Linked DNA regions of Neodiprion lecontei. The protein of the gene in region 1 interacts with the protein of each later gene in a pairwise test. Links are inferred from orthologs where the notes say so. Each region holds a gene or a part of one and is shown on either strand. Other genes may lie near its edges.

Evidence for each region. The genes of interacting proteins can lie anywhere in the genome.
Region 2: the proteins of pelle-like serine/threonine-protein kinase pik-1 (region 1) and embryonic polarity protein dorsal interact in a two-hybrid assay, tested with the Drosophila melanogaster proteins (2 studies listed by BioGRID). The link is inferred for Neodiprion lecontei from reciprocal best matches to the Drosophila melanogaster genes pll and dl.

The regions. Positions count from the first base shown.
Region 1 is NC_060265.1:9,923,105-9,930,648, reverse strand, and holds pelle-like serine/threonine-protein kinase pik-1, read right to left. Parts: upstream 6,015-7,544; 5' UTR 5,275-6,014; intron 5,269-5,274; exon of another isoform or gene 5,077-5,268; intron 4,762-5,076; 5' UTR 4,731-4,761; coding exon 4,619-4,730; intron 4,427-4,618; coding exon 3,806-4,426; intron 3,605-3,805; coding exon 3,165-3,604; intron 2,811-3,164; coding exon 2,469-2,810; 3' UTR 120-2,468; downstream 1-119. Other genes in the region: ATP-binding cassette sub-family B member 6, read right to left, coding at 6,376-6,768, 6,948-7,105, 7,299-7,544. UniProt on the Drosophila melanogaster protein: Plays an essential role in the Tl receptor signaling pathway that establishes embryonic dorsoventral polarity; the signal directs import of dl into ventral and ventrolateral nuclei, thereby establishing dorsoventral polarity.
Region 2 is NC_060262.1:41,744,422-41,749,025, reverse strand, and holds the start of embryonic polarity protein dorsal, read right to left. Parts: upstream 3,017-4,604; 5' UTR 2,692-3,016; intron 452-2,691; 5' UTR 417-451; coding exon 365-416; intron 1-364. Other genes in the region: uncharacterized protein LOC107224268, read left to right, coding at 3,649-3,983, 4,201-4,604. UniProt on the Drosophila melanogaster protein: Embryonic developmental transcription factor. The lateral or ventral identity of a cell depends upon the concentration of this protein in its nucleus during the blastoderm stage.

The sequences.
Region 1 (7,544 bases):
AGCGTTATAATGGAACAAAAAATAAACACGAAGACAAAAAACTGTGGCATCCGTTGGAATTGCAATAAGTGATTTTTAATTTTGAACCGAAAACAGGTAAATACATTTTTATTGCGCAAACAAAGTAAAAGATAGATTGATTTATAATTCAAAGTTAGAAATGAACGTAGTTTCTTGCGTTCTAATGTCATTCAAACATCAATAAAAATACCAACATATTGAGGCGCAGTACTATCTACAGTAATTATTCGAGTAACAAGTAACAATTGAGTTTCAATACATTATCAGATATGTGGCCCTTTGCTTTTGGTGCATTAACCCTGCCTAAAGTTGTGAGAAATTCACCTATTCATGTGTATAAATATTGAATTATAATTGTGAGTACGATATCTTTTATAGCGTTAATGTACGCTTTTAGATACTAATCCATGTATACAAAAATTGGAATGTGGATATCCTAAATTGCTTGTGCACACATGATAACTGATTTATATAAATATAAATATATTATACAAAATCCTTAGGCTTAAGCGAATGATATAATATATGTATTATATTATTACTATTATTATTAGTAATGTTAATGATGTATTGTGCAATGCGATATGTTATATTTTAGTTTGTTGAAAACGAATCTAATTGTTGTATACTTACAGCGTATACTTTGTCTAAGAAAAGCAGGCTACGCGCATACAATTGTATATTTTAAACAACCAACAAAGATGATTAGACATTTGGCTACTCCTGTGGTATATTATTATACATATATTATTATATAGCGTGTAAAATAGTTTAACTCATTCAATGTGTTTCCCTATGTATTACATGTATACGTGCAGGCTGAGCTTACTGTTAGTACATATCGTACTCTGCACTTTAGATTTCTACAAAAACGAGAAGCATAAACTAATTACAAATAGAAGAAAATACAAAATATAGTGCTAAATGATTATCTGTTTACACGTTCGGTTGTTTTTACAAATCAAAAATAGGTGGGCTTTAAGCTATTCAAATTTCACGTGTAACTACGTATTCATAAATAATAATTATTAATTATCGCATAAGATGTGAAAAGAGAAGAAACAGAAAGAATATTGTATGGATGTAAAAAATATATTATTTGTAGCGGGTCTTACGATGTATTTCAAAATGTTCACTGTATTGTGACCTTGGACGGGAGTTCTGTCCAGCTAATAGCGCTCATAGTAATGGTCAACACCGGATAATTATGCAGGATCTCATATAGGTCAATGTGACTTGATTGAAGATATATGCACTGTGAATGGACACAAGGTCACGGATGATCCCACTATCTGGCTCTGCAAGATTAAATAAGTACGGGTCCCTCTACTTGTCATGGCAACAGCTGAGTGTCAATGTATGTATAACACTGTTCCCATTACCTAGTTTGGATTATCGGATAAAATGAAATCGAGTCTTTCCTAGTATCAAAATTACATATTTGTTATTACCAAAGATGTTCATCTATCCGGTGATTGGTGTATAAAAAATTCACTTGCGTTGACACTGTTACGATGAGCATTCGTGCATACGTGACAGTGTGGATAATTGAGATTGAAATTTTTGTACGTTGTTCCTCTTTACTTTTTGCTGTATATAATGAAAACACATTAACATAACTCGTATATTAAAACATTGTTAGAAAGTCAACTGAAAACAACAGGCAATATTGTGTATTCTAACAGAAATTCAACGTACTTTTACTGGCCTTTTTTTCCAGACTTTCAATAGTAACAAGCTACTTCTTTTTCAGCTTTTTATAAAATATTTTTAAAATCTTCTATTCGATATGGCAGTGAAGATTCAAATTAAATGTAATTACAGTGAAGTAGAATAGTAGTGTTAGTCGTTTTGCCAGTCCAGACCTGTATTTTCAACTTTTTTTGTGTAACGATATCAGCATGATGATTGTCCATAGTTCTTCAAGTATCGATGACATTTATATTTATAAAATCAAGATATTTATCAGTACCAGAATTTAGTTTGTCATGAAACTGTGCAGTTTTTCCTGAGTATTTTTATTTTAGTTGAATTAATACATACATCTTGAAACAAAATCATACACAATCGGTGTTACAATACGCTTATTTGAAATTTACCTCGTCGATCTAGTTAAGTTCACTGTGAATTCTCGTGAGTTTTATATTTTATTCTTCTTAACCTAGGAACGTTAGCAACTTGATACCAAAACATATTGGTATATTTAGTTACATCTTGACAGTCTCGTCGGAATTCTGGTTAAAAAATTTGACGTGCCTTGCTAATGTGTTGCCTTTATATAAAGTTCTCATAGTAAGAGACACTTTTAAATCGACAGTCACGTTTGTTATTGTTGGTTATTACTTTCAAACTCTAGCATACAGGAAAAAATCCTATTCTGCGTTATCAACAGCTTTCGTAGCGTCAGTAAATGAAATACAGGACTCGTTTTCGTGCTTTGGGAAACATTATAATCTTTCAAGCTTGCGGTGAACATCAACCATTTGCGGCCGATCTTTAGGCAATGTGTTTGCGCACCATTTTCCTAAAACTATTAGATTATCGAAAACTTTATCTTTTTCTGTACCAGCGGTACTGTCTTTTAATAGACGTATGTCCTTTTCTTCGAAACTGTCCACATAAGCTTTTAGGAATTTATGTTCTGGTCTTGCGTTACTGTATGCTCCTAATCCAGTAGCTAATTCTAGTAATACAATACCATAGCTATAAGTATCAACTTTTGTTGACAAATTCCTATCGCGCAAAAATTCGTCAGGCAAATATGGTCTGGTTCCTTGCACTCGGCTTACCTGTAAAACAATGACAATTGTATATTAGTGAATTGGTTAAACTTAGTCGAACAAATGGGGGCAATTCTTTGTAATACTTTATTTTATCATATCTGTGTTCAATTATGTATTTAGTGGGCTGGATTTTTACAAAGTAGAGTTTATTATTTCGAAATGTCTATTTACATCAGGTAAATGATCGAACCAAGCACAAGTATCAAACTCACTCTGGTGTACATATATATATAGGCAGTACAAGAATACAGGTTTTGACAAAAAAAAAAAATGTCACCCCAAGACCTTTTTCACTATTTTACTTGAGCTTAACGACGATTGTATCGCTATGATTACACATCTATTCAACTAAAAATTTACCTTCATGTAATCCTGTTCAGGTCCATCTCTAGCTAATCCAAAATCACCAATTTTGGGCTCAAAATTTTTATCTAACAGAATGTTGGCACTTTTTATGTCTCCATGGATGAGTGGCTTGTGGCCAATAGTATGCAGGTATTGTAAGCCTCCAGCTGTACCCGTGGCTATATTATGTCGTTGCAACCAATTTAGGGGTTGGGATCCTTGTCTCAAGGAAAGTTTATCTTCTAATGATCCATTTGGCATGAGTTGATATACTAGGCATGGGGCTTCTCCGCCTATGCTGTGACCATACAGTGGCAGGATATTGTCATGTCTCCGGGCGTACAAAATTTTCAATTCTCTTAAAGACTGTTCTACCTGGATCAAGTAGCTTTCCTTCGAATCAGAACCTCGTTGTTCTATTTTTTTAATGGCTACTGGGGTGCCTTTCCATATACCTAGATTTGAGAAGTGTTAAAGTCAGTACCAGTTGACAAATTAGTTACATGATTTATTTTTAAAACTTTTTTGTAAGTTGATTTGAATCCTATGTATACGAATTTATTTTCTAGTAAAATTTTCAACTGTCCAGAGATCATTCACCTAAGAATTATCTGTTTTGAATTGAATTATGTATGCATAACACGGTACACACTGACCTTTAAAAACTGTTCCAAAACCTCCTCTTCCCAGTATGTTGTGTTTGCTCCAATTATGCGTAGCTTTTGCTAATTCTTCATAAGATGGTTGAGGTAGGTCGGTATCAATAAGTGATATCTTCAATTGATTATTATTTTTAGAACCATCCACTACAGGTCTTGGAACTGGAGCAAGATTTTGATTTACACCAGTTGGTACAAGCATATTATCCGAATTGCTTGGATCTAGATCATTCGGCAGTGGGAACTTGTCTAACATTTTTGCCACTCTTTCGTACATTGTTTGATAAATACAAAGCTTCTGCACATCGCTTGAAGCTGGTTGAATGTGATTGAAATTGTTAGTTCCTATTTTCAGATCTTTTGAATGTTCGTCAGCTACATGGCAATTCAATAATTGTGCTGAAGGCCTTTTCCGGTTGGTGATAAGCTTGCTGTACTTGGGATTGACGAAATTTTTCAGAAGTAGCATTGCCTGATGGTGTTGCATCTTATATAATAAAAGGAACAGTTCCTGTACTGTATGATTGAAAGTAGTCCACATTTTCAAAAGCTTATCTGTCGGATTTTCGTTCTTTCTTAAACATTGAACAGTAGATACATCAAATTTCATCCATTTGCCTAAAGAAAGACGAATATTGTTTTTCACTATTCACTCTAACTTATAGTACGACATGGTATCAAGTTCAGCCGTTCGGTTCTATCTTAAATCGAGTCTAAATTTATTGATACGCTGCTTCCGACTGTTAATAAAAAATTAGCCAAACCTGACTTGGTCCTGATTTATAGCAAATTTATGGGTAAAAACGTTACCTGCTAGCTCTTCCCATTCATTGTTCTGATTGAGAATTCTGCATAATTCTTCTCTTTCAAGCCAAGGCAAATCATCGATATAAAGATTAGTCTGTCCATGCTGCACAGCCATTTCAGGATAGTCGATGACAAAGCCAAAAGCACTAGATCATGATGAAAATTACATTGAATTAAAATGTGAGGGATTGTATTTGGATTGAGAAACTATCCATCTTTGTAACAAGTTGCCAGTGGGCAATTATTGGAATTTGGAGGCCTTATGTGCTGTTAATGCCATGAGCAATATCTGGTGCCAGTTTCTATTGTTTACAAACAATAACATGGCAAGTGAAACAAGATAAAAGATGGTTGTGTTGGGTTAGTTGCGTTGATTACGTAGGCGAACATGACGATGAACTGCGAAGAATCTCAACAAAGTGTCACAAGAATCAAATAAAAGTGTTTTGCGAGTTAATTACCCTAGAAATAGTCAGATAGGTTAGAAGTTCGCGCGACAGACTGGATTTCGTTATATGGTTAAATGTTTGAAAATAAATTTAATTTTACATTGCGTGTTTAAATTTTACTAATATCTGATATTATATCTTGCATACTAATCTAATAGAATTAACGAAATAATCCTGGTTTACTCTCACGTCAAAACATATTTTTTTTACCTTCCAATTACACACTAGACGTTGACTGAAGACAGTTAGTTGTGACGTCACGCGTAACAGGTTGCTATACAAATGTCGAACGTCTTCAGTCTCCAAAAACCCCGACCTTTGCAACTAGCAAGTCGCAGCCTGATTGGCTGGTTTCCAGGCAAGCGGGGATGATGAAGTCACTGGTTCTTTCCCATAATTTCCACAGTGCTATTTTTAGACTTGAGGAAATAGACGACCGCGTGAAAAACTGCACCCTGCAGAGATCATCCGACCGGTAACTACGCTGTGCATGCATGCATAAGTATTAGAGTTCAGTGAAAATCTATCAACTGTACAGACGACTGTGTGACGAAAGAAACCGAAAACAATGCATTTAAAACAGAAGTCAGTTTTTTTTAATGACTTACATAAATATTCCAAACTTGGATCATATTAAGATTGTCGTGAAATCGCTGCTTACATATTGTCAGTTTGCTTGGCAACTTCATAAAAATCTATTCAAACCAAGGCTTGTATGTATCAAAGCTGAAGAATAAAGGGAGATCATCTAGTGATCTGTAGAACATATTTCATCACAAAATCACCATTCAACTTTGAATTCAAATCAGTTCTGAAAGGCTTTTTAAGAAATGAATATCACGAACAAATATCACTTTCCTCTAATAGGATTTAACTAACTTAAGAGCACATTAGAAACAGATTTTGGAAAGTGGAAGATAAAAATCGTAGTTTGTTGTGCTACCGGAAGCCATAAGTATTCGTTTTCGTCATCGATTCTTATTCAATCTGCCAAATAACAAAAGTCTGTTCTCTAACAAAAGATCTACACGTGGATAATTTTTTGACACAAAATTTTAACCCGAACAAAACTTTTGTCGTTAACGGGAAATATTGTACGAACATATGTAGACAAATGTTTTATGTATATCTCAAGGTGACAGAAAATACAATCTACAAATGAGAAATCAGAAAGTGTTTCTTGAGTATACTATATTAAGCTCTAAGATAAATACGTATACATAGGCATGACATAATTATCTACTTGTACAAATATACACATAGTACATGTACATGCGTACAAGTTATGTCATCAATTTTGATCTATTGGATCTAGGATGCCTTTTTATCATCGTCATCTATATCACCATTTTCTACAGCAACTTCACCGTTTTGATTGTTTTGTAGTTGCGCTTGCCACATGTTGTGATACACTGCGCCGTACGAAATTAATTCGTTATGTTTACCCCTTTCAATGATTTCCCCATCTTTCAAAACTAAAATTTCGTCTGCATGAATTATAGTTGATAATCTATGAGCAATTATAATGGTTGTACGATTTGCACAGACGCGATTTAATGCTGCTTGAATTGTACGCTCTGTCTGTGTGTCCAAAGCACTGGTAGCTTCATCGAGGAGAACAATCGTAGGTGATTTTAAAATTGTTCGAGCAATTGCAACACGTTGTTTTTCACCGCCACTCAATCGCAATCCTCTCTCGCCAACCTGTGTCGAAATAAAAAATACCCATTGGTCTTACAGCAAAGCCTGAGATTTTTAACGAATATTTTAAGGAAAATTTTTTAGATAGCAAAACATTCTACAGAAATTTTGTTAAAAAGTCCAAAGATTTTATACAAAGACATTTTCTGTAATGTTGTTAACAAGCATTAAAGTAAGCAAACCATTGTTTCGTATGCGTCAGGGAAACTTAGAATTCTTTCATGAATATCTGCATTCTTAGCTGCTGCAATGACATCAGCTTCTGGTGCTTCAATTTTTCCATACTGAATGTTATACTTGATAGTGTTATTGAACAATACAGTGTCCTGCGGCACAACACCTAAATATAAAAATACGCCAATCAGATTACAGACCCAAAATCTTATAATGATGAATAATAGATAGAAAATCTTATAATCAATGTATTACAATAATTGTATTAACATAAGTACAATTTTGGAAATTTGTAATGTCACGACAATTCCATGAAGGTTTGTAATTCAAATGTCGTCTGAATTGTCTGAAATAGTTACCTATGGCACTTCTCAATGTATCTTGTCGAACAGTTTTGACATTTTGTCCATCGACTATAACAGCTCCTTGTTCTACATCATAGAATCTGAACAGTAATCGCATAATTGTTGATTTTCCTGCTCCAGATGGTCCAACGAATGCTATGGTTTTACCAGGTGGAGCTACAAAGCTTATATTTCGTAGAACAACTCTTTCAGGTGTATATCCGAATGACACGTTTGAAAATTCCACTCCGCCTCGCTTAA
Region 2 (4,604 bases), on another chromosome or scaffold:
CGGACATGTTTCGGTAAAATTCAACTCTGTGATCACTAGCTGTATTTCATGCTGCCTATTCTTTATTGAAAAATAATCAATATATAGCTAGTTGATTATGCTTCGCTTTTAGACTGAACTTTGCCAGTGTAGCATCAACGGAGCTGAGAGTAGATCTAGACTGAGCTGTAGTAATATCACTGTAATATCAAACTATGTAGTAAGGAATAGTCCGGTTTGCCTAATAAACCTATATTGTATTCCCTGGCATGTAAATCTCATTATTACTTTTCAACTGTCTTTGAAATTTATATTCTCAATGCTAAGCAGATTTTTTTACTCTTATATGGTTTAACTTCAAAGAAAACAGCATATCTATACTCACTGACATCACTTATGTTTATATTTCCATCCGAAACTCCATGGGTCTGTTCCATACCTTTAGCTAGTTGATAGTCAGTTTTATTGGCATCTGAAACAAGAATAAATTGCGTCTTCATTAGCAACAAAAAATGTTTGGTTACAGATTGGAGGAAGCAAATGCATGGAATAAAAGTAGGAGGTAAAATTTTTCATGCGTGTCGTTCATTCCATGCAAGACAGATCAGTCACTTTACGGATGTTCCTTTAACTTTGTATGTCGATATTCCTCAGAAAATTACATTTTTGTACTAAACACGTTTCACAGGTAATTATGTAAGGATCATCGAGTAATTTGCTATCAAATATTTCTATAATTTCATTGATAAATTCATTACTCTATCATCGATTGTGATAGATGAAAATTTTTTCATTCAATAGATGTCGCAAGAGATACAGATGTGTTAAAAAAATATAAAATATTGGACAAATTGTTTTTAATCTTTTGTCACCAATAATTTCTCAAAGGTTCTTCAAAAATTGCTTCGAATGGTCAAAATTTTGAAAAGAAAATTATGTATAGTCCCTAATGTGTGATGTATCGAGGGAAGAACAGCTAGAGACATATTTAGAGTTCAAAGGCTTTATTCTTGCTGCTAATACTGAGCGCCGGGGTCGAACCTCACTCCTTATTTACCGCTCTTATATACTCTTATTACATATAATTGTACGCATATACTACAAGTGTAGTGCTGCATGTGAAACGATTTGAATGTTTTGCCACGTCTTTACAAAAAAATCTTTAAGTTTATGGTGTGTACAAAGTGGTATCGTTTAAACTCAAGGTAGAGTAGTGGCATCTCGACAAGACACTCCGCAAAATATATCTGTCTTTTTTCGAATTTTTATTTACCACCCAGGCAATGTTTTAAAAAATGCCGAAGAATTAATTCTTCTTATCTGAACACTTTAAAAATTCAGTGTTTCCATACGATCTATTTTTATCTTCTTACACTGCAATTCTTTTGTCACCTGTGTTAAGAGAGAGAACAATTCTTCACGGACTTGACATTTATAAAGATACAGTAATGAAATATTTATCAAAACTTTCTACAAAGATATCCGAGAGGTGACGGATATGTCTCGTGCTGAATGTCCCAGACGTCTAGGCGCTTATGCCAAAAAGACGTTGAATTATAAATGGGCGATGTGCGGAGAAAGTATTGAACTGTTAAAGCGTGAACGCAATGTGAGATACTGTTTCAAAATTTACCAGCTGTTGATGCAGAAATTACCATTTTTCTGTATTTTTTATATTTTTGTGAGATCGAAATGATTTTAAATGCCAATCACCATCGTTGTTTCATTGAAGAAGCAAGAATGAGAACGAGAGAAAATACATCTCATGTAGGTGTGTAATCATAATTTGCTTTCCTGAACTCTGGAAATAACGCTGTAAGAGCGATGGAACAGATCGAGTTTGATTTACAGGGAAATCGATTATTACCATTATTGTTTAAGTATAATAAACAGAATCGAGGATCTTATCCTCCAACCACCAAAGAAGTCTAAATATATAATAAGAGTTACGAAATTTATAATGGAAATATATATTTCTCGATTCATTGAACCGATTCCGGTTTGAACCGAGGCCACGCTTCATGCTGGTAATAACAGCACCGTTTCTAGTAATCTATATTTTTGTGTCGGTCAAATTTTATGTGAAAGAAATTCTAATGCCTATGTTGTACGTAGTATTACTACGAGAAATAAAACTGAATGAAATGGCGCTACTTTGTCCTACTTCAATGAAAATTTTACACTAGTGAGTTTTTATGATTTATATCAAGTCGAGCCAATCTATGCTACTAGCCTAAATCTAGAAAGAGTGTCTAACTTGGCAGCGTGGCTATGAGGAAAGAGTACGGCAGCTTGAGGTGAACTAGAGGAATGGTTTATCACACATCAGAGATAAACCAAGAAGGAAAAACAGAGCGAGGTAGAGAGATTAAGACAATGCGTGGCGGAGGTTGTCGCAGGACTTGGAGATGGAATGGAACGAGGTAAAGGATGACACTGCAATGGGGAGAAATTAGTAATTGAACAGCTGTTCGAAAATAACCTTTAAGTTAAAAAAAAAAAAGAGAAACAGTTTTGGTCTATAAATTTTTTACGGATGAGAAACGGAGTTCTGGAATAGTGAAAAGATTGTCGAGGTGGTTCTGACTTGGTTACTGTATTCCGGGCGATTCCGGGAGTTTGGGAGGCGCAACGCTGATCGAATCATTATTTTTGGAGAGCCTAGGTCTCCCCAGCTATAATTAAACTATCGTAGGACAATGTGATACTCGCCTGTTCGAGGCCCATGTTATGGTACTGAGATCGACGGAGATGGTGCGCGACGAGGAAAGTTGTTCCGTACTGACTCCTGTCAAGGCCTTACCCGGGAACAACTGGTTTTATGTGTAAAATATTACCACTTGACAGAGCACGCTGCTCAGATATCACATTGCCACCTTATTTCAGGGTACTAACACCGTACCGATTTTATCCGGAGGTAAACTTTCACGCTCGAGCACTCGACACCAACCCCCTTCGTCACAAATAGCGAAGGAAAATTATTTTTGGCAAAGATGACAACATTTTTCGGGGAAGCGAATCGAACTTCTCACCATTGGCTGAAACGTGTCACGTGACCATACTAACCTCGCGCAGCTTATGCTACGATATACTGCGCGCCTCGTGACAAACATGGCCGACTCGCGCCGTTTCATTCAAACTTTCGAATTTCTGTTCGACGCAATTTTCGTTTATTTTGTATGAAATAATACATCTTTCGTGTCATACGTATCAAAGTATTTGCCCGTCAAGTTTGCTACTCAGTTTCCGGAATTTTTTTTATGTGTATTCTTAAAAATGATCTTGAAAACTGTTATCTAAATGGAAAAATATACCACAATCACACGTTTAAAGTAGACCAACATTTTTTCACGATCCCGAATCTAGTTCGCTCTGCGATCGTAGCTAATTATATACTCCAGCGAACGGCTAAAGAGTTTGAAAATGATGGCAGGCTCGAAAAATTTGACATTCCGCAAATAGTAGCGAGGTAAGGAAACGTGTAGGTTCGAGATATGAAAGCGGGAATCATGCCGAAACCAGTAAGAGTGTGAAAATATTTTCGGACGCATCTTTCATTTGTTAAGTAGTGAGTTGTTTTTATCCATCCCCTTGGCAAAATAATAAATAATAAACAATCAGCAACAGTTTTAGCAAATATAATTTTAACTGTCTTTGAAATTTGGTAAGATGCTGAGTCAATCGTCATGGGCGAATAATCGCCAAAGGTATGGTGGGTACTCGTTGAGAGGCCAAAGAAACATTCATTATCCCCCGCCTCCCTCATACGTAAGAGGTCCCCGACGGGGACCCGTTTCCGGACCGATTAGAAACCCCATTAATTCCTACCGCAACATCCCGGTATCAATACAAGGCAACATTACCAAGAAGACTGCCGTCTTTAGCTCAAACAACTCAAAGACAGCATGCATCATACCGAATACCCCAAAGTCTTCTTGTAAGAAGAGCTTTTCTATGGTCGATCTGTCACCCACGTCCATCAATCCGGATGTTCTTGACCTAAGGTAAAGAATGAGCTGGTCAAAATGTTTATAAAATAATCGTTACAAGATTTGGAAGTTCAAGTGATCAAGTTGAAAGTTTGACTCGGGCAATAATCTTGAAATCGAAATCAGCAATGCCTGTATTGAAAAAAATTATTTCTGCGCGATGTTCATCATTTTCTAAATTTGAACATTCAAACGGCGCTATAAATTTATTGTGATTTTTTACTTTGGTCAGGTCTGGGAGTGCCACTTCTTTGCAGTCACGTCTGCAACGGAAAGTAGCTGCAACTGATTCGACAAGCTCTGAGGTACCATGCGTTGATGGGGCTGAAACTGGGAGTGAAAGAGGGATGGGATCATGGCCGGGAGATTTGGATGTCAACGGACTCTCGGCTCCACCGGATACGAACAAGGCAGCGGGTCTCGTCTGTCGCGCTTTGGTTGTAAACGCCTGGCGTCGTAGACGTGAGGAGAATTTGCAACTGCATGAAACGATTCGCCAGCTTAGCCAGCAGGTCGACCATCTTCACATCCAGATCGTCGTGCTGCGACGACTTTTGGATGCCGAAAATGGTCGTGTCGGAAGATTTATGGCTGAGATGCAGCGTGTTCGAGTCCAGTTTGATGACATTGCTCGCG